Sus scrofa: one gene and its partners. The protein of the gene in region 4 purifies or fractionates together with the protein of the main gene of each other region. This does not show direct contact. Links are inferred from orthologs where the notes say so. Each region holds a gene or a part of one and is shown on either strand. Other genes may lie near its edges.

Region 1 (4,210 bases), on a different chromosome or scaffold from region 4:
TTTGTTTTTTTGTTTTTTTGTTTTTTTTTTTTTTTTGCTTTTTAGGGCCACACCTGCAGCATATGGAGGTTCCCAGGCTAAGGGTCGAATCAGAGCTGTAGCCGCTGGCCTACACTACAGCTCATGGCAGTGCCAGATCCTTAACCCCCTGAGCAAGGCTAGGGATTGAACCTGGGTCCTCATGGATGCCAGTCAGATTCATTAACCACTGAGCCATGGCGGGTTTGAAATAGTAATACCAGCATTGTGGGAGGTCCTGCTGTGGTTACGAACCCAACTAGTATCCATGAGGATGTGCGTTTGATCCCTGGCCCCACTCCATGGGTTAAGGATCTGGTGTTACCATTAGCTGCAGCATAGTCGCAGACATGGCTCAGATCTGGAGTTGCTGTGGGTGTGGCATAGGCTGGCAGCTGTAGCTCCGATTTGACCCCTAGCCTGGGAACTTGCAAATGCCGCAAGTGCAGCCCTGAAAAGCAAAAAAAAAAAAAAATTGCAAGCATTGTATGACAGTTTGAATAACCAAAGGCAAGCAGACCAGGCCACTGAGATGTGTTATAGCCTCCTAGGAATGAAACTGTTTGATATTAAATATATGTAGCAAAGGGTAAATGTTACTTAAGAAGCTCACATATTCAAAGTGACTAAAAGGTCAGTAGGTAGCTAGAAATACATACTACTGGAATGCAAGGGAAGACTGGGCTAGTATAGAGATTTGGGAGTTGCCCTCTTAGTGTATGTGGGTGAGGGCTACAGGGAAGAGGTAGGGCTCCCTCACAGTCATCTGCACAGGACTTTGATCCTAGACAGGTGGAATCAGAATGTGTGTCTTTTTAAGTCTCTACAGGCTATCCGGAATTGATATCCACCCTCGTGAGAGTTAATACTTATAGTAAAGGGAGGAAACGAAGTCTGTGAGGGAGAAAAGGTAGAAGGGAATTGAGTCATTTAAGAAATACTGAGCATCAGCCTTGTGCAGGTCACTTTCTTAGCAGCTGGAGCTTCTGTGAGGAAGAAACCAGGCAGGGATGATCTTGTCTTGTAGGAGAGGAAGGCTAAATTATAGTTGTGTTTGATGCTGTGAAGAAAAAGTACGAGGTGCCTTGAGAATTATAGCAAATAGACATAACCTAATTGAGGGACTAAAACAGACCTGAAGAGATGAACAAGGAGACAAGGGACAGTGTATTTCACTGCATTTACAAGGGATTTCAGTAGGAGAGAGAGAGTGAAGTTAAGCCAATCTGTAGGGAACTGAGCCTCCATTTAGATTCCTCTGCCAGTGTCAGTCAGAGACCTAAATGACAGAAGGTTGTGAATCTTTGGAGCACAGCTTTTGGAGTCAGTGCCTTTTACAGAGCCTCAGGCAATAAGCATTCCATTGCCTTTTTTTGGATTGTTCTCACTTCATGAGATTATATAGCTCCTTCAGGTCTTTGCACAGATGTCACCTTCACACTGACCTAAGTATGCTCTTTACCCCTCAGTTCCCTTTTTTTTGTAGCACTTAACACCATTTGACGTACTATATTTAGCTTACTAATTTGTATGCGTGTTTCTTGTCTGTCTCCAATTAGACCATAAGCTCTATGAAGGTAGGAATTTTAGGCTATTTTCCTCACTGGTATAGCTCCAACTCTAAACAGGGCCTGTTATTAAATATTTTTGAAATGACAGGATGAAAGGAAATACGTAATAGTCATATTACCTACAAGGAGGACTGTGGAGGTAATGAAAGCTCTTTTCACATAGGGAAGAAACTACAGGTACTTGACAGAAGTTGTCACTAGTTGAAGTAAACTGAAAAGGGGAAACTGAGCAGCATTCTAGACACAAAAGGAAATAAAGGACTCAGATTGGGGGAACAAGCAATGACAATAAAGAGGGGCATCCTCTAAGACTAGAGAAGACACTTAGTAGGAATTGTGAGCTAGTAGACATCGCCTTAGATATTTTTTAATCATTTCAGGTGGAATGCAAGCTTTAGGACTTCATCTGACAGATCCAAGTCAACGTCTTGTTCAGAACTGTCTTTGGACTCTTAGGAATCTTTCAGATGCTGCAACTAAACAGGTAAATTCTCAGTAAAGTGGCACCATAGTGATAAAAGTCAAGCTGAATTTGTACTGAGCGTCTGTTTTCATCTCCATAGGAAGGGATGGAAGGTCTTCTTGGGACCCTTGTTCAGCTTCTGGGCTCGGATGATATAAATGTGGTTACCTGTGCAGCTGGAATTCTTTCTAATCTCACTTGCAATAATTATAAAAACAAGATGATGGTGTGCCAAGTGGGTGGTATAGAGGCTCTTGTGCGTACTGTCCTTCGTGCTGGTGACAGGGAGGACATCACTGAACCTGCCATCTGTGCTCTCCGTCATCTGACCAGCCGACACCAGGAAGCTGAGATGGCCCAGAATGCTGTTCGCCTTCACTACGGACTACCAGTTGTGGTTAAACTCCTACATCCACCATCCCATTGGCCTCTCATCAAGGTAAGTTGTCAATCAGAGTAGAAGGTTGCTGAATTGAAAATGAACTATCTCTAGCTGTTATTAGATGGCTGTCTAGGTGTCAGGGATTGATAAATAGGAGTTGTATTCTTTACTAAATAGGAAATAATAACTGGGATGGGGTAGGGGTTTGAAGCGTTTGTGTAGTCAGCTCTGCTTTCAAGTGATAGCAATAGATTTAGTGTGGCAGGGATTTTAAGATAAGAAAATGATTTTGCTGAGTTGTATGACAGTTTGTCACTCGTCCTTCTTGTCTACAGGCTACCGTTGGATTGATTCGAAATCTTGCCCTTTGTCCAGCAAATCATGCACCTTTGCGAGAGCAGGGTGCCATTCCACGACTAGTTCAGTTGCTGGTTCGTGCTCATCAGGATACCCAGCGCCGTACGTCCATGGGTGGAACACAGCAACAGTTTGTGGTAGGTAAATCTTAATAGTGACATCCACTTATTTAAAAGGAATGCATAAATCCATAGAATCCTAAACTATTTGGTTATTGGCTCCCCTCCATCCATCTTCCTGCCTGCTGAAGGGCTGCTTGCTAATGGTTAAAAAACAAAAAACAAAAACCCAACATGTCACTGTGGTTGCAGAAAAGATCCTTATTTGGAGTAATGTGTCCCCTAGTGATATTTCCCTTGACATGGCCTTAATATCATTGCCTCATCAGTCTTACAAAGGGAGTGTGGAGAGTGTAACTTCTTGTTGTGGGGTCTCAATTAATCCACACACAGGTTCAACTCCTCAGAAAATAGCAGAGCCATAATTTGAATCCAAGTCTGATTTCAGAGCTACATTTCTATCTATAAATATTTAACACACCTTTTACTATCTCTTCTAAGAGTGATTTAAACTATTTTCATGGACTTAAGAATACCAACAAATTACAAGAATAAGTAGTAGCATTTCTGAAATCTTCTTAGCCTTAAGGCGTTGAGGTCAAGTTTGCAGTCTTGAAACTAGCTCTTCATTACAAGTATCTAAAGATACTTCTGATTCCTCAGAATGTATTTTAAAATGACCCAGACCTTCAAAGAGTCTCATTTAATCAGGTTACTTTAGAGAACAAGACCTAACCAGAACAGGTCTTAAGACTTATTGGTGGTTGTGATATGTATGCATTTGTTAGGGGGCTTTGGCTTTCTCCATTTATGACTTGGTATTGGCCCATCTCCATGAGGTGACTTAATAGGATGCAAAGGGTACTTTTTATCTATCCATTAATTCAAAGGATACCTTTCAAAATCTCTTTTGAAGAAAGGAATTTTAGTGTCTTCATAAAAATCAAGTTGAGGGAGTTTCCACTGTAGCACAGTAGGTTAAGGATCCAGTGTTGCCACAGCTGTGGCGTAGGTCACAGATATGGCTCAGATTCAGTCTCTGGCCCAGGAACTTTCATATGTTGAGGGTTCAGCCGAGGGGGAAAAAAAAAAGGTTGAATATAAAAACTTCTAAAATTAGCAGAATTTTAACCTTATTTAAAACTCAGAAACAGGGAAAGCAGAATAGTCTCAGAAGGAGGTGAGTGGGTTTTCTACTGGCAGCTCAACAGAATTTTAGCAGTTGGTAATAAAACTTTTAGATGTACAAAGATAGAGGGAGTATCTGAAAGAAAACACTGATACAGCACATTTCTTTACCATCTTTGTGTATCTTTTTAAAAATTTTATTGGAGTGTAGTTGGCTTACAAAGTTGTGTTA
Region 2 (4,776 bases), on a different chromosome or scaffold from region 4:
GCACTTACCCCGTTAAACACCCCAAATAATGTCTTGTAGTTCATGTCTCCGCCCACCCTCCCAGTCATTTACTTCGTGCCACTCCTGGTTACTATCACACTAGGAAGAAGTCTAACATGCAAATTCAGAGTGGCGTGGATAAATGGCAAAAAAATGCCTAGAAAATTGGTCTGTTCGGCTTCATAATTTTTGTTGAAAAAATACCCTATTGCTCTCAACTGATGAAAACAGGAAGCTCTATTCATAAATATGAAATTCTCTGCCTATGATATATAATCATCCTAATAAGAAAATGAGTTCTATACATACATGTCCAAAGGGGCAAAAAAGGAGATAGTTTCCCAAAGATGTTTCCAATTTTCTTCTGAATCAGAATTAGCAAATCGAGACGACTAACATACTCTGTCTGTGTGCATTATTCCTTACTACACACAGCATTTTGTAATTTATTTCAAACCCTATATTATAAACAAAAAATACAATTTTCTGTTAACCCACTCTACTCTGAGCTTGGAAAAATCAATCACATTGAACAATCTACATTACAACATAAGAATTTTATTTTATGTTTGTATCAGATTTCCTATCAAAGGATAAAGTTAATATCCAAATAAACTATTCAAAGGATTATACAAGATGAAAAATAAAATTACAAGCATAAAGAAAACTAAGATTCATCCAATAACTGACAGTTCTTGCCCTTCACTTTTATAAGATCCTCAAACTAGCCATGAGAAAAAGGTAAACATGATATAAAAGATACTAATTACATTTAATCTTTTTGTAGAAGCCGGCATCTAATATTGATCATACATCAACTAGACAGACATGATTTAATATTTGTAAAGGAATCCCCAGACTAACACTTTCATGACAGCCAATTACAGTCAAGCCCAGCAAGCAGTTTGCAACCAGACCTTTAGAAAGGTAAACTTTTTTACAATGAGTTACAGATTCACAAGTTTAAGAAGACAAGAAAAAGGAAAACAGAAGGACTCCAAACACCCAGCAAATATGAAGCAGACCCCAGAATGTGATACAATCCAAAGATGTAAATTATTGTAAATCATCACTGTTGTTCAGAATTTCACACACAGCCTCTTGAGCCAATTTTGCTCATTTTTCCGCAGACACAATAATGAACTAAATAAAAGGAGGAGGCACAAAACAGTGGGAGTGGGGGGACAGAAAGGAAAGCCCACAACTGCAGAGCTCTGCTCTACAAATGCTTAACCTTCCAGGAGTTAGGGCTCCTTCAGCATTTGTATTCTATCCAAATCCTCATGAGTCACAAAAATTAAAAAGCTATATCCTTCTGGATGCCAGGAAGGGCCTTACCACAAGCCTTTTGTCAGAGAGAGAGAGAGGGAGAGAGAGAGAGGAAGAGAGAGAGAGAGCAAGAGCTGGGGGGAAAGCCACAGTGGTAGGCAGTCCCACTTGACTGTGAGTACTGTGAGGTCACAAACCACATGATTCTGTCTCTCCAGTAATAGTGCTTGCAAAAAAAGGAGTTTTAAAGCTTTTGCTTTTTTGGATTGTGTGAATGCTTCATTCGCCTCACAAACAACCACAGAACCACAAGTGCGGTGCAAACTTTCTCCAGGAGGACAGCAAGAAGTCTCTGGTTTTTAAATGGTTAATCTCCGCAGGTCACTACCAGCCACCGAGACCAACAGAGGCAGTGAGTGCTCTCTAACCACAGTCTGTGCAGTAATAGTAGGTCCTTCAAATATTTGCTCATTCTCTTTTTGTTTTGTTTCCTTGCTTTTCACATGTTACCAGCTACATAATTTCTTGACAGAAAAAAATAAATATCAAGTCTATGTACTGCAGGCATACTGTAAAACTAAAACAAGGTTTGGGTATGGTTTGTGTTTTCAGTTTAAGGCTGCAAGCAGAATTTACAACAGAGGGTACAAGTTCTATCTGAAAAAAAAAGGAGGGACTATGGCATCAAACAGCCTCTTCAGCACAGTGACACCATGTCAGCAAAACTTCTTTTGGGGTAAGTGTTATCATATTTTAAAATCCTCTAAGAGATGAACCTGTTAAACATAAAGGTATGTTTCTTGCATAAACTGCTAGCTTTTCCGGATACCATTCTATTAAAGATCATAATAATGCTATTTTGTTGCACTAGAAGTTGAAAAATGAAATTACTGTACAATTTGCATTTGCCATCTGTAACTTATCTACTTCTCGGACTAATGACTTGAAACAGAAAAGATTATCTCACATTAGTCTAAATGTTTTCTAGAGTTATAGAAATGAGGTAGTTGAAACAGTAAAGTTTAATATTCTCATTAACCCTCACTGAAATAAAAGTAGACATTAAATTAATCAAAGTATTGTGAAATAGTCACTCCGGCAGCTCCCAGTATTTGAGCAAACTTTAAAAAGGAAGCAATTTTACAAAATAACAGACCAAAGAATTATCCTGACATTATACTCTACCATGTAAAACAGAGAAATAAACCTGTAGTATAACTAACGTTTTAACCAGCTCAACTAAAAGAAATTTACAATTTTAAACTGCATCATAAGATACCTGCTTTGTTTCCTAAGCTGTTTGTTTCTACACAGCTTTACATAGTTGAGGCATATATTCAACTGAAATAAAATTATAAGTATATAACAGCCATTTTTTAGATTTTTAGAGTTGCCCAGGATATCCAGGATAATGAAAAGCTCATAGAAGTCTTTAAAAAACTTAACTTAACGTGCAATTATAATTTTCATTTACATCCACACACTATTCTCCATTGGTAGAACTTGTTATAAACACATAGCAAACATTGAAACGTCTAGGATTCTTTTAATCATATTCTAGAACTACCAAAATGAGTATCGTTTCATCTCATAAAAAATAATACTCTGAAAGGATACCCTGCATGATTTAAAAGAGCCATACCAATTAAGTCATGCTGGACTTTAAAAGAAAACAGGCAAAATATAGTTCCTTAATATTTCAATTTCAAGTCAGTGTTGCTTCACAAAAGTAAACTACTTCAGCATTCATGAGCCAACATGGTATTATACAGTAAAATATCTAAACACTTACAAGATTTTCTTTATGATGTCCAACATGTTCCAACTACAAGGCAAGTTTATAAAATTTTCTTTTATCCTTTGAAATAAACCCTTTGGCTGTGTATATCTGTATTAACTTTTGCTTTATAACTTACAACTAACGATTGGAGTTTCCTTTACTCCTCCTACTTCACACATTTTAACTGGCTACCAGAGGATCAGTCTTAGTTTTGGTCAAAGAGAAATAATTAAACCTGACGGAGAAAAAAGGATTTCTCTTAAAAGGGTGAGGAAATGTACTTTGTATTTTACCAAAAAATGTAAAATTGCTGCAGTAACTCCCTCGGTGGCTCTAAGTGGGCCCCTCAGTTATAACACATACAATATAATAATCACAGATTACTTCTCCGATTTAATGAAAGATAATGAGCATTTCTGTAAAAATCTCTGCATTAAGGAAACAGAACATACATACAACTAGACTGCATGAACAACTCCTATTATAATTACAGCTTATACACAGAAACTTTTGCTGTTCCTACCCAAGAGATGAGGGAAAAAATGGTTAAAACTATTGTTATATGGAGGGGTAACTTGAAGCAGGCATCTATCTCAAGCAGTTAAGTTACTCTTCACAATATTCCTCTGTTTAAAAACAAAAAAATTTTCAAACCAGACTGGGAACAACACAAATTTCAAGGACTACTTCAGCATTAGACATACAAGTTATTAACATAATCACAAAGAATATTTTTAAATGTTCTTTATGCTATCATATGAGGGAGTCTTATATTTCTATAACAATCCTTAACAACTATTTCTATAGTAAAATTTTCGAAATTTGACCAAGTGTCGAACAAGGCATGATCTATCACGTGTCATATACATTTAGACATTATAACTAATTCTTTCTCTTCTGAAAAGTGGAATTTCCCTCTCCCACTCCCAAATAGTACTTGAGAGCCTGGACAGAGAACGTAAGATGAACCCATCACAGCGGACTAATTACAGGTGGGTGGGGGACACTGTGTATAGGTTATCATCACACTGCAAACATTTCTCCATTCTGTCATCTTTCTGAAGTCTCAAACCTCACTTCAGGCTTTAAATTCTTACGTAATGATTATCAGAACAACCTAATGAAATGTCAAAAAGTAGGTGCTCTGATTTTTGTAAAATAGTTTTTAAAATTAGGCTCTTCCTAGGCGAGGGACAAAGCACATGCTGACCAACTGTCTCACCTCAAAATAATGAGTGAAAATAATGTGTATGCAAGAGAGAGACAGAGACAGTGAGAGACAAAAAAGTGTTTCAGTGTCCTTGCTCTCTCAGCAAACCATTTATCTCAAGAATTATCTGTACTACTCAAAATCTGTCCATTATTTATCATACATAAAGTCCGTTAAAACAACAGATGTAACTAATGGAGTATCCTACCATTAAGAACTAATTTATGAAAATATATCCGCTGACAGACTAATTTCTACCTAAAACCTCTGTGCCTGATTGAACATGATGTGTGAACAATGATTTCTAAAACAGTCATAGTCCATAGCAAGAATATTTCATGGTAACAAAGTGTCATAACTTGCTTCTAAAACAAGAAAGCTCAATTCCAAAAATCCAGGGAGATGATTTAAAAAGAACATTCGTAGAATACCACTCCTATATATATTAAAAGTTAATAATATCAATGCAATTCCCAAAGATTCATATTATAAGTTACTTTATATTATAATAAGTAAT
Region 3 (4,210 bases), on a different chromosome or scaffold from region 4:
CCCTAACATTTGCCATAGGAGTTGCGGGGGGCCGGGGCGGGGGGCATGCTCATGGCATGCAGAAGTTCCTGGGCCAGGGATTGAACCCAAGCTGCCACAGTGACAATGACAAATTCTTAAGGAGTTCCATGGTGGCCTAGTGGTTAACATATGTATGCTCATGCAGTTTCATCTTCAGTTGATTTTAGACACCATAAGATAAGTGGATTCATACTTAATTCTTTCAGCCTTCCTTCCCTAACCCTTACCCCCAAGTTTTGCGGTTTTTTTTTTTTTTTTAAAGTAAACCAGTGTCCTTGGGAAAACCCACCTTCTTTCTACCTGTAGACAAAAAAGTTCACATCTCTTCTCAGATTCCTAAGAAGTAATTGAATTTTTCAAAAAGGGCAGCATTATTCAACTAAAGCAACCTTTAGTATTAGAAAAGTGGACATATATGAATAGTACCTGAATATTTTTCTAAAGAACTGTAATTCTCACTTAAATCTTAGTACATCTATGGCAAATGACTATATCTTCTAACGGCCTTTATCTTCACTCTTAGAAAAGAAAAAGCCTTAATTTCAAGACCAAAATGCCAATGCTTTTATTTCTTTTGGGTAGTAACATCTGCTGGAATGTTATGATTTTGCCATGAAAGCTTTCTCTCAAAGGCAGATGCTGTGGAAGAAATCGAAAGTGTTGACACAGTGTTAGTGTAATCCCTGGATTTAGAATGCATATATGAAGGAGGAGGGAAAGGAGAGAATGCATGTGAAGTAATGTATCAGAGTTTATATTAGGATTTCTGTCAAACCATAAACTATTGACTGAGCAGATTTAAAAGATCAGACATGAAAAAAAAAACACGATTATTTTTGACATGTTTAATACATGCTAAAACAGTACAAGATAGCTGAGAAACTCTGTATCCTGTACTCTTCTTCGTGCATGTGGCGTCACTGTGATGGTGATAACTGGGTTTTAAAAATTGGTCTTAAGCTACAAGTTCTGATCTTCAGCTTGTTTATCAAATAGCTGATATTCAGCTATTTGAATAGAGATAGTGGTTTTTTACTGCTTTCCAGAAGGTGGTCAGTTGAAGAGTGGAAACGTTTTTGGAAGTTTTCATCACACAGCTTTACTTTATGAGATGAGGCAGAAATAGTACCTCTCTTTTCCACACAAACTGGAAAGGAAACAAGACACTGGAGAATTAGCTTCCTTAGAGCAAGTTTTGTTGTAATTACATGGACTAATTGCCTATTTCCTTCTTTAGTGGGGACTGGATATGCACATTTTGCAGAGATATTGGGAAACCAGAAGTTGAATATGATTGTGATAATTTACAGCATAGCAAAAAGGGGAAAACTGTACAGGGGTTAAGCCCCGTGGACCAAAGGGTAAGTGTCAAACAACTTGATTTATTATACGGATTCTGTAGTTGTCTGGCTGTACATCTTTTTGTCCTTCTTCATGTAATATACATGTAACCTGATAAATTTCCTTTTTTTTTAATCTCTCTGATAGTATGTTCCTGACTTCTGAAATCTTTATCTCTAGCCCTCAGCTCCAGGCTTTTATATCAAGCATCCTCATACTTAAGATTTTGGTTGTGAAATGCTGCTTTTTGAAGGAGAGCATTAGAAATCAATAAAAACAAGCAAATAACATAAAAAAGCTGCATTCCTCCCCCCGTAGTCCCCATCATCACCATTTTCCTATTCCCCCCACCATTACCTTCTGAGATAGCCATCATAATTTTTCATCTGCATTGTTTTAATAATCTCTTTACTGAATTCCCTGATCTACTCTCTTGCCCCTTACAGCCCATTTTCTGTACTGTTCTTTTTTAAAAAATATGTCAGCAGCTCTCTCCCTTCCTTGCTTAAAAATCCTCTAATATAGCTTCCCATCATAGAATGAAATCTAAAATCCTCTGATTTCACTCATATTTTTGTTGATCTGGTCTAGTTTGATTTCCAAAGACAGAGTGTCTGTCACATAGTTTTGTGGCCATTACAGTTATGTTTGGCTTTGATCTGATGTATAAACTTGCAAAATTCATCCTCCACTGTCTTTGAGGAGAAGGTATGTATTTAGAGTATAGAAACATATGCTAAAAGAAATTTAAGCAGATAAAAACTATAAATGTAAAATTGCCTTTCAATTTTATTCTGATTGTATAAAAAAATTCTGGAATTGGATTGAGATTGAGAAGACAGTTTTTATTTAATTTTGAACCTAAGCAGAATCCTTTCAAGAAAGGGAATAGCCAACCCCCTCCCCCACCACCTGACCCCCCCCTCCCCGCCCAAAAAAAAGGGAGTTCCTGCTGTGGCACAGTGGGTTAAGAATCCCCACAGTAGCTGCTGCTTCGGCCTAGATTCAGTCCCAGGCCCAGGAGCTTCCATGTGCCATGGGTGTGGCCATAAAAGGGAGGGGGGGGCGCCAGAATATAGACTGTGTCTTGCCTGCCTCAGGGAATTACAATGAGTAGCAACAATGATAAATTTTTGTATAGAATGCTGTGTATATTGCATTTATGACTTCTTTCCATTTGTGTAGTTAGAAGTAGGTAAATTATCTGAGTTTATTTTATTTTTTTGTCTTTTCTAGGGCTGCACCCGCGGCATATGGAGATTCCCCAGCTAGGGGTCTAATCAGAGCTCTAGCCGCCAGCCACAGCCACAGCAATGTGGGATCACAGCCGCATCTGTGACCTATACCACAGCTCACAGCAACGCCAGATCCTTAACTCACTGAGCAAGGCCAGGGATCAAACCTGCAACCTTAGGGTTCCTAGTCAGATTCATTAATTGCTGAGCCATGACGGGAACTCCAATTTACCTACTTTTTAATCAAATAAGAACACAGCCACTCTGTCTTTGATAAAGTTCATTTAAAGTAGGACACTAAATGGGAAACAAGGTAGTTTTCTTTGGGTGTGTATATTTTGTTGGATAACTAGTATGTATCTAGGAGGCTTATTTTCAGTTTTGTTGTAATAATACTGAGAAAGTTCTCTTCTCCCTAAGATATTCGTGAGAATAACATTTCATAGATTTTCCTTTTTTTTCTTGGGCCAGAAATGTGAACGTCTTCTGCTTTACCTCTATTGCCATGAATTAAGTATTGAATTTCAGGAGCCAGTTCCTGCTTCGGTGAGTTATTTAGTTAGTACCTTCCTAGTGAAGATGTTTAGTATAATACTTAAGGGTATGGGCCATAGCCTTAGACTGATGTTAAAACTAAGGCTTCTTGAATAATTTCCTCAATCAAGGTGCTTATTAAGTTCTCTTTTCTAATACTGTTTCTTCCCTTTTTGGGTTATTTTGAGGATTCCACACATAACCTGTGTAAAATGTTTTAGCATAGTACCTGATAAAATTTCTGATTAATAAGACGTACTTATGATTTATTAGGGTAAGTGGCATATAAAATTCACTTGTTAAAATTGCAGTCTGTTTTTAAAGACTTTGTTGCAGTGATGAAAACTTAATGAATTTAATCACCATGTCCTCTTTTACTTTTGAGATGGACATAAGGGATTTTAGGTACAGGTATAATAGAAAAAATCTTGAACTGGGAATCAAAAGACTTAACTTCTTCTCCTAGTTCTGCCATTAACCAACCTTGTAACTTTGGGGAAATTATGTAATTTTCTGCCTGCAGCAAGTGGAAGTTCCTGAACCAGGGCAATGACAATGCCAGATCCTCAACCTGCTGCACTACAAGAGAACTCTCTGCCTCTACTTTTTTAAACTATATAGTGGGAATATTGGACTAAATTATTTCTAAGATTCCAGTTCTGTGATTCTAGGATCTGTACCTTGGGGAGAAAACAATCTCTATATAAGAATTCATTTGAATAAAGTGTAAAGTTGAATCTTTCACATTGGTTCTGCCTTCAAAAACCCTTTATTTTGTAAGCCAATACCCTTTATCTTAAAGGAGACTTTTGTAAGGAATAAAGGCTCCAAAACCCCATAGTGAAAGAGAATACCAGGGATGCTCAGTGCCTCATAAATGGGATGAGAAGATGCTACACATATTTTATTTGGTTGCCATCAGTTATTGAATTAAAGTATTGAATACCAGGCAGGTTATATAGAGTATTGAATAGTAATTTGTTTACTAGGTAAGCTCAGAAATGGATTTTTTTTTTTTTTTTTGCTTTTTGCTTTTTAGGGCCACACCCACAGCATATGGAGGTTTCCAGACTAGGGGT
Region 4 (4,210 bases):
GCTCTTGTTTGTATTATATCTTGGGCCTTCAGAGATGATTCATTCGGAGAGAGGATTTTACAGTTAAGACAAGTTTGGAAGCCACAGGCCTGGGCCAGGGTGCTCATGTTCCAGGGAAGACCCTGACGGACAGGCAGGGAAGGGCAGAGGCCACACAGCAAGTGTGACACAGTCAGTGGCAAAGAGTCCCTGCTGCTGAGCCTTCATCCTTCCCAGACAGCCTCCCCATTTGTTTTACTTTTTAAAAGATCCTAGATGGCATACACAGGTGTTTACTCACTCACTTTACACTTTTCTCTATTTAAAATATGTCAGAAATTATCAAAACGAGAACAAATGTTTTTGTCCTTTGGGTCTGGGTCTTTCCACCTGTGCCTCTGCCTCCTGATCATTTTTTTGGGAGGGGGCGCACCCATGGCATATGGAAGTTCCCAGGCTAGGAGTCAAATCAGAGCTGTAGCCACTGGCCTGTCACCACAGCCATGCCAGATGTGAGCCGCATCTGACCTACACCACAGCTCACGGCAACACCAGATCCTTAGCTCACTGAGCGAGGCCAGTGATGGAACCTGCGTCATGGATACCAGTCAGATTCGTTTCCGCTGAGCCACGACGGGAACTCCTCTGCCTCCTACTCTTGACTGACATAACGCTGGGGCCCTCCCTGTGGCCCCCAACTCTGCCAGCACCCGGTGTCTGTGAGACGCCAAGTCCTATAACACTGAACCAGGAAGAACTGGGGAGTGGTGGTGATGAGGACAATGGTGGGACGAGGAGGCAGGCCTGTAGTCAGTCCCCTGGTTTCCATCCCATTTGACGTTGCGCCTGTGAAATCTGGCTCCGTTCTCCAGCCCTCCAGGCCTCTCCCCCCAGGAGCGGGAACAGAGACCTTTCCAGGCAGGAGAAGAGAACATCCCCTGGCTGAGCAGAGACTCATTGTCAGAGGGTTTATGTAACCACTTGAATTGCAGAGCCAATTTAAAAATAATTCCTGTCCATCTGGAGTGGATTTAAGAGATGAAGGGAAAGTAAATGATATAAACCTATGGAATGTTTTAGAAAAATGCTTCCAGGAGAGAAAGGTACGGGGGTGGAGGGGCATTCATTAAGTCATCCCTGCAGTGAGGGGCTCCTGGGGTATCTGCTGCCTCAGGAAGAGCTCTGCAGTGACTCCGTGAATTTCTGAATCTTGGAGCGGGTCGGGACCTAGTAGTAGAAGTAGCAGGAGCAGCAGTTAATGCTTGTCAGGCCCTTACTGAGTGTCTTAACAACAACCCAATGAGGTGTAGGTAGTATCATCCCCATCTTACAGATGAAGAAACTAAGGCTTAGAGGCTGAGTAACTTGGCTGAGGCCCTGGTCAGTGGCAGGAGCTGCTGTTTAGGCTTAGCTGTGCCCTTTGCTCATCACCAGCCTCCCCAGCTTTAGGAACCCAGCATCACCCATCACTTTTGATGGGTTTAGGCTTGGGCTCTGGTCCCATTTGCCTGGTGATACCAGCAAAGAACCAGTCACCTGGAGCATTGGCTGTAGCTCTCTTCAGCTGGTGCCAGGGCCACTGTGTGAGGACCAAAGGCCTGGTCCAGACTGACCTGAGTTTCTCTAGGGCGAGGCGTGCGGCTGTACTACATTGGAGGGGAGGTCTTCGCAGAGTGCCTCAGTGACAGCGCCATCTTTGTCCAGTCACCCAACTGTAACCAGCGCTATGGCTGGCACCCAGCCACCGTCTGCAAGATCCCACCAGGTAACACCACCTACACACCTACCCCTTCCCTGAGGTCCTCTCCTCCAAGGCACATGCCTCGGATGCAGGGGAGGTTTCTTCTTACCATTTCTCCTCAGTGGTGTTTGCATGGCCAATCTGGAGGTGCTTCGCTTGATTTTTCTCTGTGGCTTGCTCTCTCACTCTGAGCTTCCTGAACCTCTGAGGAGCAGATGCAGCATCTGACAGATCTGCCTCTCACCTGTGGGTACCTGCTCATTGCCTGTGTGCAGAGATGCTCAGGTGGTGTGCTGGCTAGCTTCCCTCTTTCCTTCCGCCATTCCAGATGCGGAGCTGGAGGGGAGCAGGAAGCCCTGCTGCTATCCCCACAGACCTTACCCATCATCTCAGTGTACAAGGCAAAGATACAAGTGGGTTTAATACAAGGGAGGGTGCTAAGCACCAAGTAGGCAGCACAGGTAAGGTGCTCTTGGATCTAAGGGGGAAAACACATTGAATTATTAGGATGGATCAAGGAAGCTTCTTGGAGGAGAAGAGCTTGGGCTGGGAAGGATGGGTAAGTATTAGATGCACAGAGGGATGGGGTGGGGACCGTGAGGGCATTCAGGCAGAGGGAACATTATGGGCAAAGGCCCAGCGGTGATGGAGGGCAGGGCACGTGTGGGCAGCGCTCTGGCTGCAGCAGAGGCCCTGTAAGAGACAGTCAGGGATCATGTTTTGAAAGTTTGATGGAACCAAGCCATGGAAAGATGTGAGAAAGTTTTGTTTTTATTTGGGGGCCCTGTTGAGGGTTTTCTGAGTCGGGCTGTGAATCCCACTTGTACTCCAAGAGGAGTCAGGCTCACCCCAGACGGTGGCTTGAACAGGGCCAGGTCTGGGTAGAGGACCAGGCAGGAGGTGATCTTATCCAAATCCTTTTCACAGCAAAAGCGGAGGCAGAAAGCCCCCGCGAAACCCACTTTTCCCAGGGCGGGCAGCCGCAGAGCATGCAGTGTGCCTGACTGGGAGAGTGTGTAGCTTAGGTCGTTGCCTGTGGGGGTGTGTGTGTGTGTGTGTGATGTCTTCCTGCCTGCTAAGTAGCAGGTGATGCTGGAGAGCAGTGGGCCACTGGCAGGGTCAGCTTAAGAAGGAAGAGTCTGGGAGTTCTTGATATGGCTCAGGGGTTAAAGGCCTGACGTCTCTATGTGGATGTGGTTCAATCCCTAGCCTCAATCAGTGGGCTAAGGATCTGGGGTTGCTGTGAGCTGCAGTTTGGGTCACAGGTGCAGCTCAGATCTGGTGTGGCTGTGGCTGTGGCCTGTAGCTCCCATTTGACCCTGGCACAGAGGGAACTTCCATATGCCATAGGTGCCTTTAAGAAGACAAAAACAAAAAAAAAAGAAGAATGCAGAGTCTGAGTTGCCTAGCGATGCTGTTTCCGGGATGTCACATGGTTGTGTTTACAGAGCACATGTCTATCTCGGGTCTCACTTAGTTCCCTCCAGTAACCCTAGCTCTACAGGGGGAGGCATGTTGAAGAGACAAGTTCAGAGAGGTTAAGCCACCTTCTAAGGACACACAGCCAGTAAGTGGCTGAGCCAGGATGAGCCTATCGCTGTGTGCTTCTTGCTGCTTGCTTGGCAGGGGGCTGGAGCCCACCTTTGACCCTGCTTCACCCCGCTTCCCCTCAGAGAAAAACGAGAAGAGGAAGCCAGGCTGCGTTCTTGACTTTGTGCCCATCCCTTCACCCCGCCCTCCTTGTCTCTGGTGAGGGCAAAGCTGGCTGTGGTGGTGGTTGTTAGCTCATGGAATGTCAGAGCTGGGGGCCTTTGAGGCCAGTCTCTCCTTTACAAGGGAGACACAGGGCTTAGAAGAGAAAGTGACCAGCCCAGAGTCACACAGCAAGCCGAGGGGCCCAGGGTGGCCCATTAGCAAGTGTCACCTCAGCTCACCTTTTGGGCATTTCCAGCATGTGCTTTTTGTCTTTTATTTTTCCGGTTGACACATTCCTGGCACAGAGGCGGCAGGACTTCAAACAAAAGATTTATTATAAACTTCATGTGTGCCTGTCTCTAGTTTTCCTGCCTGGGGAGTTAGGCATACACCTTGGCTTTGCTGCGAATGTCACCTTGACCCAGTCTTGTGCCCACAAGGCCAAATGTGGCCCAGACCTCTTTTTCCCTCCCGGCCCCGGCAGAGGTGGCTTCCTCAGTGAGGCTGGGGTGGAGGGCAGCCAGGGACCCTCTGCAGAGCTTCCTGTGGGCACGGCCTGCCTCCGGCACTCCCGCCATGCAAGAGCAGGGGCTGCTGTTGCCCAGGCTGTCCGCCACACCCCACACCACCATGGACCTTCTGTTCTCTCTGTTCCCTGGAGTCTTGCCTTGGCCCCTTTGCCCAGGGCAGGGCCACCTCTCCCCGCCCATCTCCCTTGTTCCTGGGCCCACCTTGCTAACTTCCTCAGCATTCCCACTCTGGGGCTCGGAGCCTACAGGCCAGTGTTTAACTCCC
Region 5 (4,210 bases), about 90 Mb from region 4:
ATGCAGCGCAGCTCTAGCTTCCCCTACACCACCAAGGGCTCCGGCCTGGGCTCGCCCACCAGCTCCTTCAGCAGCACAGTGTTTGGACCCTCGTCTCTGAACTCGCTGCGCCAGGCGCCCATGCAGACCATCCAAGAGAACAAGCCAGCCACCTTCTCTTCCATGTCGCACTACGGCAACCAGACACTCCAGGACCTGCTCACGTCGGACTCACTCAGCCACAGCGATGTCATGATGACCCAGTCGGACCCCTTGATGTCTCAGGCCAGCACCGCTGTGTCCGCCCAGAACTCCCGCCGGAACGTGATGCTTCGCAGTGACCCAATGATGTCCTTTGCCGCCCAGCCTAACCAGGGGAGTTTGGTCAATCAGAACTTGCTCCACCACCAGCACCAAACCCAGGGCGCTCTCGGTGGCAGCCGTGCCTTGTCGAATTCCGTCAGCAGCATGGGCTTGAGCGACTCAAGCAGCCTCGGGTCAGCCAAACACCAGCAGCAGTCTCCTGTCAGCCAGTCTATGCAAACCCTCTCGGACTCCCTCTCAGGCTCCTCCTTGTACTCAACGAGTGCGAACCTTCCCGTCATGGGCCACGAGAAGTTCCCCAGCGACTTGGACCTGGACATGTTCAACGGGAGCTTGGAATGTGACATGGAGTCCATTATCCGTAGCGAACTCATGGATGCTGACGGGTTGGATTTTAACTTTGATTCCCTCATCTCCACACAGAACGTTGTTGGTTTGAACGTGGGGAGCTTCACTGGTGCTAAGCAGGCCTCATCTCAGAGCTGGGTGCCAGGCTGAAGGCTCACTGAGGAAAGGGGAAGTGGGCAGAGCAGGTCAGTGCCCAGTGCTGTGGCGTAGTGGTAACGGGGTGGGGGTAGGGAACCGCCTTTTGTATACCTGGTGCATGGTAACCTGCTCCCACCCGGTTCTTTCTGAGTTGTACCTGCAAAACAAATAGGGCCGTCAGGGTCCCCTCCCCACAGTTTGCTGACAGCTCAGGACTTTTACCAGAGGCTTTCGTTTTTCTTTGCGTCCAGTCACCCTCACTGACCTATGACACAGGTCCCCCTATTGGATGGATGGATGAGGAGACAAGGGAAAGGAGGAAGGGGACCTTAGGCCACACAAATGTCAAGGTTAAGGACCCAGCAGTGGACTTTCTTAGAGTCTCAGGTCCAGCTCTGCCATTGTCGATCTTCCATGCTGTGGGTTTTATATCTTTCTTTTTCAGTAAAGTAACAGTTTTTGGGTACTTCTAATATAACTGTAGACTGTGTATTCTGGACTCTTTCATACAGGAGTATGTCTACCAGGAGCCAGACCTGTTAGATTCTTCACCACTAGTACTAAGCATCTTTACTAGTTAGCACTTAGCATCTAAGTATTTAAAAGAGCAAAAGAATTCAATTGAAAACAGAAGTGTTTATGTGAGAGAGCACTTTTTCACATGCTTCGTTTTCCCCGAAGTATAAAAGATGTCAGATTCCAAACAGTGACATGGGTTGTGAATGGAGACAGATTTTTTTAAATTGTGGCATTTTAATTCTGTTGGAACCAGAAAGATCATGCAACATGATATGGAAAGAAAAGCATTTGCTTGGAATCAGAAGTTGAGGATTCGGTTCCACTTCTCTTGCTTTCTGGCTGCTATCGGAAGTGTGTCACTTAGCCTCTGAGCCTCAGTTGCCAGCTTTATACCATGAGGATAATAACCCCTGTTGCTTAATGGGGTTATTGCAAGCGTCAGATGCACTGGGAGTTCCCTGGTGGTCTAGTGGTTAGGACTCAGTGCTTTCACCACTGTGGCCCACATTCAGTCCTTGGTCTGGGAACTGAGATCCCACATCAAGCTGCGGCACACTGCAGCCGCAGCTCCCCTCCCCCCAAAAAAGGCCCTAAAATGGAATCCTTAAACACTGAAATGTGCAAAAGTGCTTTTAAAACCACAATGGTTTGAAATATGTATGGTGTAATTAGGTAAACATACTGACAGACAGATGAGTAAACAGGGAGCCCAGGAAGGTTAAGTAGTTTGCCCAGGGTCACACAGCTAGACCCAGAATCCCAATTTCTGAAATGGCTTGAACCGTAGTTGTTCTTTCTAATTATCTCTAGATGGTGAAAATGGGAAATGCTCTGAACTGGAGCCAGAGGAGCAGATAATATACAAGCTTGCCCTCAAACAACTCTCCCTTTCAAGTAGCAAAATGAGCATCAGGTCTTTTGCTCACAGGCTTGCACAACTCTACTTCCCATGTTTGGGGGCTCTGTTCTATGCCCCGGGTCCTCTTTTTTCTTTTTTCTTTTTTTTTTTTTTTCTCTTAAATGTCAGCAAGCTACTCTTCTTTAAGTGGTGGGAAAGAGAAGTGGGATTCAAAGCCATAAAAAGCTGAGCCTTGTTTAACCCTCTGCCCTGGTGAAGGAATTACCAGGGTCCCTGCGGTGCGCCATCCAGCTCACACATAGTTGTAGAAAAGGGAATGTCGAGTGTTGTGATGCTCAGCTTCTCTGCTTTCCCAGGCAGAAGCAGGCCCCTAATGGTTCTCAGACATCTGTTTCCAGTCATTTAATAGCCCTTGAGATGGTAAAAAGACTGCAACAGAAGCCAAATAGGGTGACACACTTTCATGCTGCCAAAACTCGGAATGGGGGAGATTTGCCTTGAGAAATTCAGATATTTGGCTTTCAGAAGAATAGTTTGTCTTCCTTTAAGAAGAGAAATGTGATTGTGGCTTCTAAAGACCCAAGGAGGTTTTAATTTTGGTTTCGTTGTAAGGCATCCACATTCTAGCTCACTGAAAAGACTGAGAGAAGAAAATGTGCTGTCGGTTTTTGTCTGACTTTTCAAGTGTAGGTTTTCCTCTTAGCTGAAGAGCAGACCTTTCGTGTGTGTGTGTGTGTAATTCTAAAAGATTGTATAAAAACATTTTAAGGGAGATTTAAATACTTAACTTTTAAAAATGTATTTAATGAATCATTACTATTTTGATAATAAACTGCTTTTGAGACTACACATATTTTTAAGATTACTACCTACTTTTAAGATTACCCATTTTGTGATTATACCCTATTGGAAACAGGGACGTTTAGTCACCTCAAAACATTTTGAGGGAAGTTTTTTTGAGAAAATATTTCTGAAGTTAAAAAAAATATATATATGGGAAGTCACCAAATTTTCCTGAAACTAAACCAGCTCAGTATGACCAGAGCAAGAGAGGAAACATCCTGAAGAAAGCCAAGGCCTCTGAGGGAGGCTTGGTTTCTGAGTGTACAATTTCCATTTTGCTTTGGAATGAACTGCTCCTCTCAGCTGGGAGCATATGTGGCCTAATATAGATTCTTTACTTTGACACTGAATTCATGCCATCACTTTATGGAAGTTTCTCCTAAATTCACAAGGCAAGCCTTAGGTCATAGTCTCAAAACTCATTTCTCCCAAATTTAGCAGCCCAGCTTCCCAAGCCTTCTTCTGTCATGGCTTTCTTTGATTTGACTTTTTTTTTTTTTTGAAGAGCTGCACCCAAAGCATTTGGAAGTTCCCAGCTAGGGGTCGAGTCACAGCTACAGCTGCTGACCTACACCACAGCCACAGCAACACAGGATCCTTAACCAACGGAGCAAGGCCTGAGCTCAAACCTGCATCCTCATGGATACTAGCTGGATTTGTTTCTGCTGAGCCACAATGGGAAACTCTGACTTTTTTTTTTTTGTCTTCTCTATGGAGGTTCCCAGGCTAGGGGTCTAATTGGAGTTATAGCCACCAGCCTACACCAGAGCCACAGCAACATGGGATCCAAGCCATGTCTGTGACCTATACCACAGCTCACAGCAATGCCAGATCCTTAACCCACAGAGCAAGGCCAGGGGTCAAACCCACAACCTCAGGGTTCCTAGATTCGTTAACCACTGAGCCACAACAGGAACTCCTGACTTTTTTTTTTTTTTGATTGAAGCCAATAGTTGTTGTATTCTCCAGCCCCACTTCCTGACTTGCTAACTAAAGTCACAGGACCCTGAGTGGGAGCCGTCAAGTTGTGGAATTAATGGAGCCGTTCTGTCCAATTGACAGACAGTCTTGCCGGAGAGCCGTGGTGAGATGCTTCTCTGGAGAGCTGGGTGTTTCACACACGCCATTCATTTTAGACCACGTGTGAAATCCTTTGACCTACAGGTCTATCTAGAAAAGGAAAAAAATCACTGTACTTTC
Region 6 (4,167 bases), on a different chromosome or scaffold from region 4:
GTGCCTGCGTCAGTAGTATTTTGAACACTCTCTTCAGAGCTACCTCAAGCATCCGCCTGAGCTTCAAGGATTCTCCATTCTGCTGCTGGGACTAAGGACTTTAAAAGAATGACAGAAGTGCCTCATCCAGGGACTACTACCAAAAACAAAACATGAAGTGATCAGGTGAGAGAAGGGGAGACAGAAAGGGTTGAGTCAAGAAAGGAGTGCAAGAAGCTGATCCCAAATTAAAAGACAAAATTAAGAAAAGAAAAAAATATTATGTATGTATATATAAACTAAAAGCAGAGCATATAAATGCTTAATCTGGTGGGAAGCCAAGACAACATCTGTAGAAAATCTTGATGTGTCACAACAAGGCTCAGCCATAAGGAAATAAGGCAATATAAAAAAAAAAAAAATGACCAAGGTATTTTGGTCACAGAATGGTCTCCTTCCTCCTCCCAGCCAACCCCTGCAAATGCATCTCTATATATCTTTTATATATATATATATATATATATAATATAGAATCTGTTTTTTGTTAAAAAGTATTTCAATGATCATATATATTTATCAAGGCATGATGGCTTTAGGAAAGGGGGGATCCATCATGGGGGAGCTGAGAAGGGAAATGCAGGACGGGGAGGCTGGGGTAAGAAGTGTTAAGAAACTGTCTGGGGTCAAACAAATGCTCATCAAAGGGTGGCACCAACAGAATTTTCACTAATGTTTCCCACTTCAAGGAGGTATTGATGATATAGGTGGGTGCCAGGACCCCATCTCTTCTCTTGTAGCCCTCCCCCAATTCTTCCCACCACCATGCATTTTTAATGCCTCATGGCTCGCTCTCCCACATGTCTCTTGGACCCAAGCTACCTTGCATCCCAGGGTTGATGGGTATGGCCCATATGTCTCTAGCCCTGGGTGCCTGATCTCAGAAGCCATTGCCACTGATATTAATGGACTGCAGATCCGCCACCTGCATGACGTTGATGCCACTGTTGGCAAGACGGGCAATACCCTCTGGACAGATGGCCTCCATGGCTACCATGTTGGTAGTAATAAGGGCTGAAGGGGTGGCAGTGCCGCTGCCTTCCGAACCTGCCCCACTGTCCAGGGGCAAAGTGCCCACACTTAGGGCTACACCTGGGCCTCCTTTCTTATTCTGGTGGGTCTTGATATGCTTTGACAGGTGGTCACTTCTCATGAAGCGCTTGGGACACTCAGGGCAGGCAAATTTCTTCTCACCTAGGTAAAAGAAGAGAATGAAGAAACTGACATCTCAGGAAGTAGGGGTACCTTCTATTCACTGCTTTCAAACTATACAATGTAGAATAAGGCTAATCTTGGTGATTGAAAACAAGAAAATCTGGTGAATATCTTCTGCCTTTGGCGGGGGGGACAACAAATAGGTAATGGTTGGGGAGTACTCAGAAAGGAAGGAATAATGCAGAAAAGTAAGGCAGTACTTTTAAAACCCCCAGTCAAAAACTAGCTCTTTCCTTCTTAAAGGTTTTCCAAATTAACTCCAACACCCTATGTGATCCATACATTCAGTTTCAAACATGAGTTGCTCAGAAATTTTAGTTATTTCATAGGTAAATTTGGTGTTTTTCTCTTGTCTATTACTACTTTTCCCTTTCCCAAATTCCTGCTCACCTGTGTGTGTGCGTTTATGCCTCTGTAACTCATCCGAACGTGTGAAGCGTTTCCCACAGTATGACCAGGTACACATGAATGGTCTCTCGCCTGTATGCCAGCGCAAGTGTGCCCGTAGGTGTGAGGTCTTGCCATATACTTTGCCACAACCTTGCATGTGGCAAATGTGCTGTTTCTTTTTGCCAGGATCCCCGGAGCCCCTGAAAGTGAGAACATAATTACTCATCATTCATTCTAGAGACAAAAAATAATCACAAAGTATCCACAGTAATTACTAGGTCTACTCAAAACTAACGCAAATCTTTTTTTTGTTTTTAATTTTTTTTTTTTTTTTTTTTTTTTTTTTTTGTCTTTTTGCCATTTCTTGGGCCGCTCCCGCGGCATATGGAGGTTCCCAGGCTAGGGGTTTAATCAGAGCTGTAGTTGCCAGCTTATGCCAGAGCCACAGCAACGCAGGATCCGAGCCGAGTCTGCGACCTACACCACAGCTCACGGCAACGCCAGATCGTTAACCCCCTGAGCAAGGGCAGGGACCGAACCCGCAACCTCATGGTTCCTAGTCGGATTCGTTAACCACTGCGCCACGACGGGAACTCCTTTTTTTTTTAATTTTTAAATTAAAAATTTAATTAGACAGGAACTCTAAAATTTTTGGTCACAACCATAGCATGTGGAAGTTCTTGGATCAGGGATCAAACCCACGCCACAGCAGTGGCAATACTGGATCCCCAACCCGCTGCACCACCAGAGAACTCCTGAACTTATTTTTACTTTTTAAATTTTTTTTAATTTTTCTTTTTTGCCATTTCTTGGGCTGCTCCCATGGCATAGGAAGTTCCCAGGCTAGGGGTCTAATCAGAGCTGGAGCCACCAGCCTATGCCAGACCCACAGCAACACGTGATCTGTGCTAAGTCTGCAACATACACCACAGCTCATGGCAACGCCGGATCCTTAACCCACTGAGCAAGGCCAGGGATCAAACCTGCAACCTCATGGTTCCTAGTCGGATTTGTTAACCACAGAGCCACGACAGGAATTCCCTGAACTTATTTTTAAAAAAGTCTTCTTAGATGGAGTTCCTGTTGTGGCGCAACCGAAATGCATACAACTAGGAACCATGAAGTTGTGGGTTCAATCCCTGGCCTTCCTCAGTTGGGTTGAGGATCTGGCACTGCTGTGAGCTGCGCTGTAGGTCACAGATGAAGCTCAGATTCCGAGTTGCTGTGGCTATGGTGTAGGCCAGCAGCTGAAGCTCTGATTTGACCCCTAGCCTGGGAACCTCCATATGCCTCCAGTGCGGCCCTAAAAAGCAAAAAAAAAAAAAAAAAAAAAAAAAATCTTCTTAGAGTTGTTCCTACTACTATGGTAATACAGTGGGTTAAGGACCCAGTGTTGCTGCAACCCTGGCATAAGCTGCAGCTGCAGATCAGATTCAAACCCTGGCCCTGGAAACTTCCAGATGCTGCCGGTGAAGCCAATAAAAAGGGCAAATCTTTAGTCAATTCTAATGTTTGAAGAGATAATCATTCTCGCAGTAATTTGTAAAATGTAAGGCGTTTTCTTGCATTTTTCTGTGGCTGTGGTGTAAGCCGGCAGTTGAAGCTCCAATTCAACCCCTAGCCTGGGAACTTCCATGTGCGGCCCTAAAAAGAAAAAAAAAAAAAAATCCATAGATTTCAGAAGATGGTGAAATATCAGAGACTTCAGTGGAAGAGGAAGATGGAATGGATAGACAGAAGAAATAAGGACTCTAACTAATTCAAGGCATACAAAAAAATATTCCTTATATGGAGCAAATTTTGAGAAACTTAAATTGCAAAATGTTTTTCCAAATCAATTTGTACCATGTGTGATCCATTAGTGGGCAATGGAGATTTCCAAGAGGGACTTTTCTAGGGTTCTAATAGCACATATTAGTGGGGGTGGGGGGGAACCATAACGGAAATGACATCACACTTAGGTGCAAATCAGAAAGCTTCCTTCTAATTTCTAAAACATTTAAATCCACTCTAGGCTTTGTTAGAGTGAAACTCCATTGTACTTCCTGCTTTTGATACAGGTTTTTCCTGTAATGTAGGGTAACTACAAATAATTCAAATTATGTTTTTTGTTTTGGTACATTTCTTATTTTTGTGATTTTGTGTGTGGTTGTGTCTTTTCTAGGGCTGCACCCTGGGCATATGGAGGTTTCCAGGGCAGGGGTCTAATTGGAGCTGTAGCTGCTGGCCTACATCACAGCTCACAGCAACACCGGATCCTTAACCCACTGAGCGAGGTCAGGGATCGAACCTGAAACCTTATGGTTCCTAATTGGATTCGTTAACCACTGAGCCACAAAGGGAACTCCGTTTTGGGGATTTTTAAGGGGACAAAATTTTTTTTTTTTAAATAAGCAGATTTAAGTTTCTTTTTTTTTGTCTTTTGAGGGCCGAACCAGCGGTGTATAGAGGTTCCCAGGCTAGGGGTCTATTTGGAACTGTAGCTGCCGGCCTACGCCACAGCCACAGCAACACCAGATCTGAGCT
Region 7 (4,693 bases), on a different chromosome or scaffold from region 4:
TGTTCCAGGAATAGACACCATTGTCTTGCTTAATCTGCAGAAAAATTCTTTAACATAAGTATTACCTAATGACTAAACTATAAGTTAAATGCTTTGCAACTAGAGGTTGAAGTGAAGTTTTGAACATGAAGTCACTATTCTTCCCATACCATGCTGCCTCTCTTAGGAAAATACTACGCTCTCTTTCAGAGGTTGAGTGGGAAAGAAGGGAGGTGTGACCCTTTGATGATACTCATAGTTAAACAAATTATGTTTATTTTAACCTGTCAAAAGAAAAGTCAAATAGTACAAGCAATACAGTACCTGGAAGCTGTTTCAGAATTTCAAATCAAGGATAACACGAAAGTGCAAAATAGTATTATTTTAAAGGAAATAAGCAATCATAATGTTGCTATATGCAAATTATAATGCCAATATACATTACCGTAACTTGGAAGGGGTCAGCACTTCTTACTAGCATATTGCACCCATTTACTGCATTCCCACCAAATGAGTTATGGTAGAGGTCGAAAATAAGTAAAAAAAGAGAGATTATGTAGGAATTCTTATTCATCTTTAGCCTTTTCACATCACGTTATCTTAAAGTCAAATCTCTGGACATCTTCATGCTTGGAACTACTTAAGCAGTTTGCCACAATTCATTAATTAAACACATATTTAGGTAGTTCTTATGTGTTAGGCAGCATTGTGCTAGGCACCAGTTGTAAAAGGTTAAAAAAAAAAAAAAAAGCTAGCATAACCCAGTTTACCTTTTAGTTCAAGCTTTCATAAGGAGAAGTAATGGGTGTATTATAGTGAATAGACAGCCGACGGGTTGGGTATAAACTTGCCTGTCCACTTACGGCATGACCTTAGCATTTGATTTCTGAGACTCGATTTCCCCATTTATAAAGTAATTGGCGTCAAATAATAGGTATTATCTAGCTTCAGGTGTATACATTATGGGAAGATAAGAATATATGACTTCATAACATTGAGGAGAGTTTCTCGCCCATCTTTTCTCCCTTTAGTACCCGGCATTATTCGATATATATTTCACACCCTGTTCACTGAGGAACTGGAACATGTTTTTCATTGCAGCTTAGCTGCCAGGGTGTGCCTGGGGAGGCGTCACAAAGAGCCTATAAAAGGTCTCCACCTACAGCAATAGTAGAAGCGCAAGGAAGAGCCCAGAAAGAGCACTGCGGCTAAGCGTTCGGTTTCGGATTGTTCTCCATTTGGTCCAAAATTCATTGAGTTTAGGTTCTGCGACTCGCAACGAAAGACTCGAGTCACGGAGTTGCTGAAATCCTCTGCCATATTTTAGTCGTCCCCACGCCCCCCGCCTCGCCCCACCCTCAAGCGTGAGTGAATGCGCAAATAAGGGTTTTCAGGCGTCTGTGGGAAAGAGGGAGGGGAAGGCAGAAGTCGAGGATGGATCGGGCGGTAGCACCGCTCAAGCGAGAGAGGACCGAGGCCCTAGAGAGGAGACTTAAAACCAGGCGGTCCCCGGCCGGAGGAGGCCGAGGCGAGCTGCTGGACGGCGGGGGCCGATGGGGAGCAGCAGACCATGGCAATGCACTCACTCCGCCCGGAGCCAACTCTTGTCTGCAGGCGCACCCCCCCACCCTTACGTCTCTTTTGGTTTCGACCTGCTGACTGGGAGGGGCCGCGGGACGCCATTCCCACAATGCTCTGGAGCGTGCCGCCGCTGTCGCTGCCGCCTCCGCTACCGCTAGTGGAAGAAGATGGCGGAAGGCGGAGCGGCAGATCTGGACATCCAGCGGTCTGACATCGCGACGCTGCTCAAAACCTCCCTCCGGAAAGGAGACACCTGGTAAGGGAAAGCGACTGAGATGGCTGTGGTTGCCCGAGGGTGGTGGAGAACTGGGCGGGAACTGCGGGCTGGTGTCTTTCGCTGGTGACAGGTGCGGGCAGGTCCGGCGGCGGCCGCCTTCGGGCAGCAGGATTTTGGCCGCTCCGGAAAGATTGGGGCAAAGATCGGACCTGAAATGAGGGCCGGGGTTCGTGGCTCGTCGGGGCATGCTGGGAGCCTTGCGGGGAGCGGCGGCGGCGGCTCGTGCAGTTCTCTTCGTCCTTTTTCCTCTGGTAGTGCCGCTCCCACCTCAGGCCTTCCCAAAGGATAGGTTACAGTCGTTGGGTGCGAGTCTCTTAATGTTTGACAGGTCTTGGTCCCACGGTGGATCGCGATCTCACCCTCTTTACTTCTTTAGTCATTTCCTTTCCCGGCATTGTCGACATCCAAGTTCCCTGTTCTGATTCTCGTATTCTTCCGGGAGGCCGACTGCAGGATGTCTGCGGTTCGTACTGCACAGGTGGCATGTGTCAGGGCGCCACTTAAGAGAGAGGAACCTTAGTTTCTGGTTCCTTGTCAAAAGGAGGGAGAGGAGTCGGGAACCTTAGGCTTCTGAGTGATAGATACCACGTGGTCCTGTGCTTTAGTGGAGGCTGGATAGACTCCGGCAGCGTTTCTTTTAGAAGTGCAGCCTTTCCCTCCGGTTTGAAGGATAACATAGGCCTGCAAAATGTAGATAAGTCTACTTGAGGCTTAAGTCACTTGCTAACATTCAAACTTATGAAATACGAAATGCTACAGTTTGAAATACTGAACGAAGTATTTGGTGATTTTAATGTTTGTGGGCCATATCAAGTGATATCCAGAATAACTTCAGTTATGTGAATATGTAACACAAATGCTGTGTTTTATTAGGAAGGCTAATGTACTGCTTTATTACAATAAAAATTTTCACTTCCCATCTTCACCGTAACAGTGGCATATAATTTGCGGAGTGTTTTTTCGTTTACTCAATATTGCTTAGTGGAAGGAGCCTAAGATTTAGACCCGCGTTAGGTTACCTTTCCACCACTTAACTTGCAGTATGACTTTGAGGAAGGTTAATTTAAACCATTGCACCTTCGTATCTTCATCTATGAAGTGGACAAGAATAATTTCATTATAGGAGTTTACTTGACTTCAGTGAAATGTTCTAAAAGATTTTCTGTTTATGAGAAATTAAATCTTAGTTATCTTATCACTGTCATTTCTGATAAAATGCCAAGGTATTAGGATCATTTTCAAGTAAGCTAAATAGATGGCAGACATGGGACTTGAATTTTAATACTTTGATGTAAGTCTTGGTACTTTTATCCTACTTTGTTAGGCTGCATACTATGTTTATATGATCCCTGAGGGTGTAAATATATTTTTGTTGCATTACAGAAAAAAAAAAATCAGACTTAAAAATCATTGTTGTGCATATTGGAGTGTTCTTCCAATGTGTGCCTCCAGGCGTTTATTACTGTGGGGAAATTGGACTTTTCCTAGGACATTTATGTTTGCCTTGCCCTATGGATCCTTACAGATGAAATGAATGCTTGCTTCTTATTGTTTGTTAAAGGGCACTTTAGGGAGTTCCCTGGTGATCTAGTGATTAGGACTTGGCACTTGCACTGTTGCAGCCCAGGGTCCAATCCCTGATCTGGGAATCCCACTGAATGCTGAAAAAAAAAAAAAAAAGAACTTAAAAAATTTCAGATTCTTAATTTACTTTGCCTGTTACCACCTCATAAAAAGATAAATGTAGATTTCCACAAAATAGAAATCTAAAATTTAGAGATACTTATTTGGATATTACTTATGTTTATTGGGTTTAATGTTGTGTTGACATTAAATGTTGTATTAACATTGGTATACTGTGTAATAATTGGTGGTGTTGACACTGCAGGATGTTAGGAGTACTATGTGTATTATGAACATTAAACTTTAAAATTCAGCATTTTTGTTTTTTGCCAAAGTTACTGTAAATCATTTTAAAGATCTCTTTAAAAGAGCAAATACAAGAAGTCTATACATTTGAGTCATTTCAGTGCTTTCATTTGAAAGAAAAGGAAACTGAAAACCAGATATTTAGGTAACAGCAGAATGTGCAAATGTTGATCCTCACAATTAATTTCCCCTCTTATTTAAAGGAAAAAATGAATAAACAAGATGATACTGGGATGCTGCAGAAACTAGTTTGGTTTATATATGAGCCAGTTACTTGGAGGTGAAACCTGCCCAAAAAGGAATTATCAGAAGTTTGATTCAGAGTTTAAGAAGAGTAATTTGATAAGCACAAATTTGATAATGTATCCATGAGTACAGAACTGGTAAAGATGCTTAATAAATTAGTTGTAACTTGGGCTCATGTTTTTTGAACTCATTAAAACTTGTTAAAAACTTCTTTCTGTTTTTAATGTCTTTTTAAAAAATCATTGGATTAGTCATTTGGGGGTATTTGAACAAATCCTGTGTGCTACTCTTGAAACCAGCCATATGCAAATGGAACATTGTTTTAATATCTGTATATAACCATCTTGGAAAGACTGATTAGACTATTGAGGAAAAAATGGTAGGTTTACCACGAGTTTATTCTTGAAATTTTAATACTCATATTTGATGTTATAGTCAAATGTATTCAAATGAATGAATTTTCTTAATTAGGTTGTGAGCACTTCGCCGATAAGGGCTACCTCTTAGTACTCTAGAAATTAATGCTAACACCTGGTAAAGGATAATGATTTGATTCTGTGTGAATAACAGAATTTCTCTTTATCTGTAAATAGTGAATGATTTTTATCTGCAAACTGACTGTCTAAGATGAAAATAAGTTAACACATGTCTCCGATGAGGAGAAACAAACCTTATATTTGG

The links.
Region 1: the proteins of SMAD3 (region 4) and CTNNB1 purify together in Homo sapiens (affinity purification with western blotting; 6 studies listed by BioGRID, with this or other methods). This does not show direct contact. The link is inferred for Sus scrofa from reciprocal best matches to the Homo sapiens genes SMAD3 and CTNNB1.
Region 2: the proteins of SMAD3 (region 4) and RUNX2 purify together in Homo sapiens (affinity purification with western blotting; 3 studies listed by BioGRID). This does not show direct contact. The link is inferred for Sus scrofa from reciprocal best matches to the Homo sapiens genes SMAD3 and RUNX2.
Region 3: the proteins of SMAD3 (region 4) and TRIM33 purify together in Homo sapiens (affinity purification with western blotting; 7 studies listed by BioGRID and IntAct, with this or other methods). This does not show direct contact. The link is inferred for Sus scrofa from reciprocal best matches to the Homo sapiens genes SMAD3 and TRIM33.
Region 5: the proteins of SMAD3 (region 4) and FOXO3 purify together in Homo sapiens (affinity purification with western blotting; 3 studies listed by BioGRID and IntAct, with this or other methods). This does not show direct contact. The link is inferred for Sus scrofa from reciprocal best matches to the Homo sapiens genes SMAD3 and FOXO3.
Region 6: the proteins of SMAD3 (region 4) and SP1 purify together in Homo sapiens (affinity purification with western blotting; 7 studies listed by BioGRID, with this or other methods). This does not show direct contact. The link is inferred for Sus scrofa from reciprocal best matches to the Homo sapiens genes SMAD3 and SP1.
Region 7: the proteins of SMAD3 (region 4) and USP15 purify together in Homo sapiens (affinity purification with western blotting; 4 studies listed by BioGRID). This does not show direct contact. The link is inferred for Sus scrofa from reciprocal best matches to the Homo sapiens genes SMAD3 and USP15.

Annotation. Positions count from the first base shown.
Region 1 is NC_010455.5:25,198,242-25,202,451, forward strand, and holds part of CTNNB1 (catenin beta-1), read left to right. Parts: intron 1-1,969; coding exon 1,970-2,073; intron 2,074-2,152; coding exon 2,153-2,491; intron 2,492-2,769; coding exon 2,770-2,928; intron 2,929-4,210. UniProt on the Homo sapiens protein: Key downstream component of the canonical Wnt signaling pathway.
Region 2 is NC_010449.5:40,105,143-40,109,918, forward strand, and holds the start of RUNX2 (runt-related transcription factor 2), read left to right. Parts: upstream 1-1,438; 5' UTR 1,439-1,543; coding exon 1,544-1,681; intron 1,682-1,881; coding exon 1,882-2,005; intron 2,006-4,776. UniProt on the Homo sapiens protein: Transcription factor involved in osteoblastic differentiation and skeletal morphogenesis. Essential for the maturation of osteoblasts and both intramembranous and endochondral ossification.
Region 3 is NC_010446.5:106,183,160-106,187,369, forward strand, and holds part of TRIM33 (E3 ubiquitin-protein ligase TRIM33), read left to right. Parts: intron 1-1,258; coding exon 1,259-1,382; intron 1,383-3,068; coding exon 3,069-3,143; intron 3,144-4,210. UniProt on the Homo sapiens protein: Acts as an E3 ubiquitin-protein ligase. Promotes SMAD4 ubiquitination, nuclear exclusion and degradation via the ubiquitin proteasome pathway. According to PubMed:16751102, does not promote a decrease in the level of endogenous SMAD4.
Region 4 is NC_010443.5:165,112,909-165,117,118, forward strand, and holds part of SMAD3 (mothers against decapentaplegic homolog 3), read left to right. Parts: intron 1-1,606; coding exon 1,607-1,744; intron 1,745-4,210. UniProt on the Homo sapiens protein: Receptor-regulated SMAD (R-SMAD) that is an intracellular signal transducer and transcriptional modulator activated by TGF-beta (transforming growth factor) and activin type 1 receptor kinases.
Region 5 is NC_010443.5:74,737,637-74,741,846, forward strand, and holds part of FOXO3 (forkhead box protein O3), read left to right. Parts: coding exon 1-801; 3' UTR 802-836; intron 837-4,210. UniProt on the Homo sapiens protein: Transcriptional activator that recognizes and binds to the DNA sequence 5'-[AG]TAAA[TC]A-3' and regulates different processes, such as apoptosis and autophagy.
Region 6 is NC_010447.5:18,626,466-18,630,632, reverse strand, and holds part of SP1 (transcription factor Sp1), read right to left. Parts: intron 1,842-4,167; coding exon 1,642-1,841; intron 1,231-1,641; coding exon 917-1,230; 3' UTR 1-916. UniProt on the Homo sapiens protein: Transcription factor that can activate or repress transcription in response to physiological and pathological stimuli.
Region 7 is NC_010447.5:26,963,112-26,967,804, forward strand, and holds the start of USP15 (ubiquitin carboxyl-terminal hydrolase 15), read left to right. Parts: upstream 1-1,402; 5' UTR 1,403-1,727; coding exon 1,728-1,816; intron 1,817-4,693. UniProt on the Homo sapiens protein: Hydrolase that removes conjugated ubiquitin from target proteins and regulates various pathways such as the TGF-beta receptor signaling, NF-kappa-B and RNF41/NRDP1-PRKN pathways.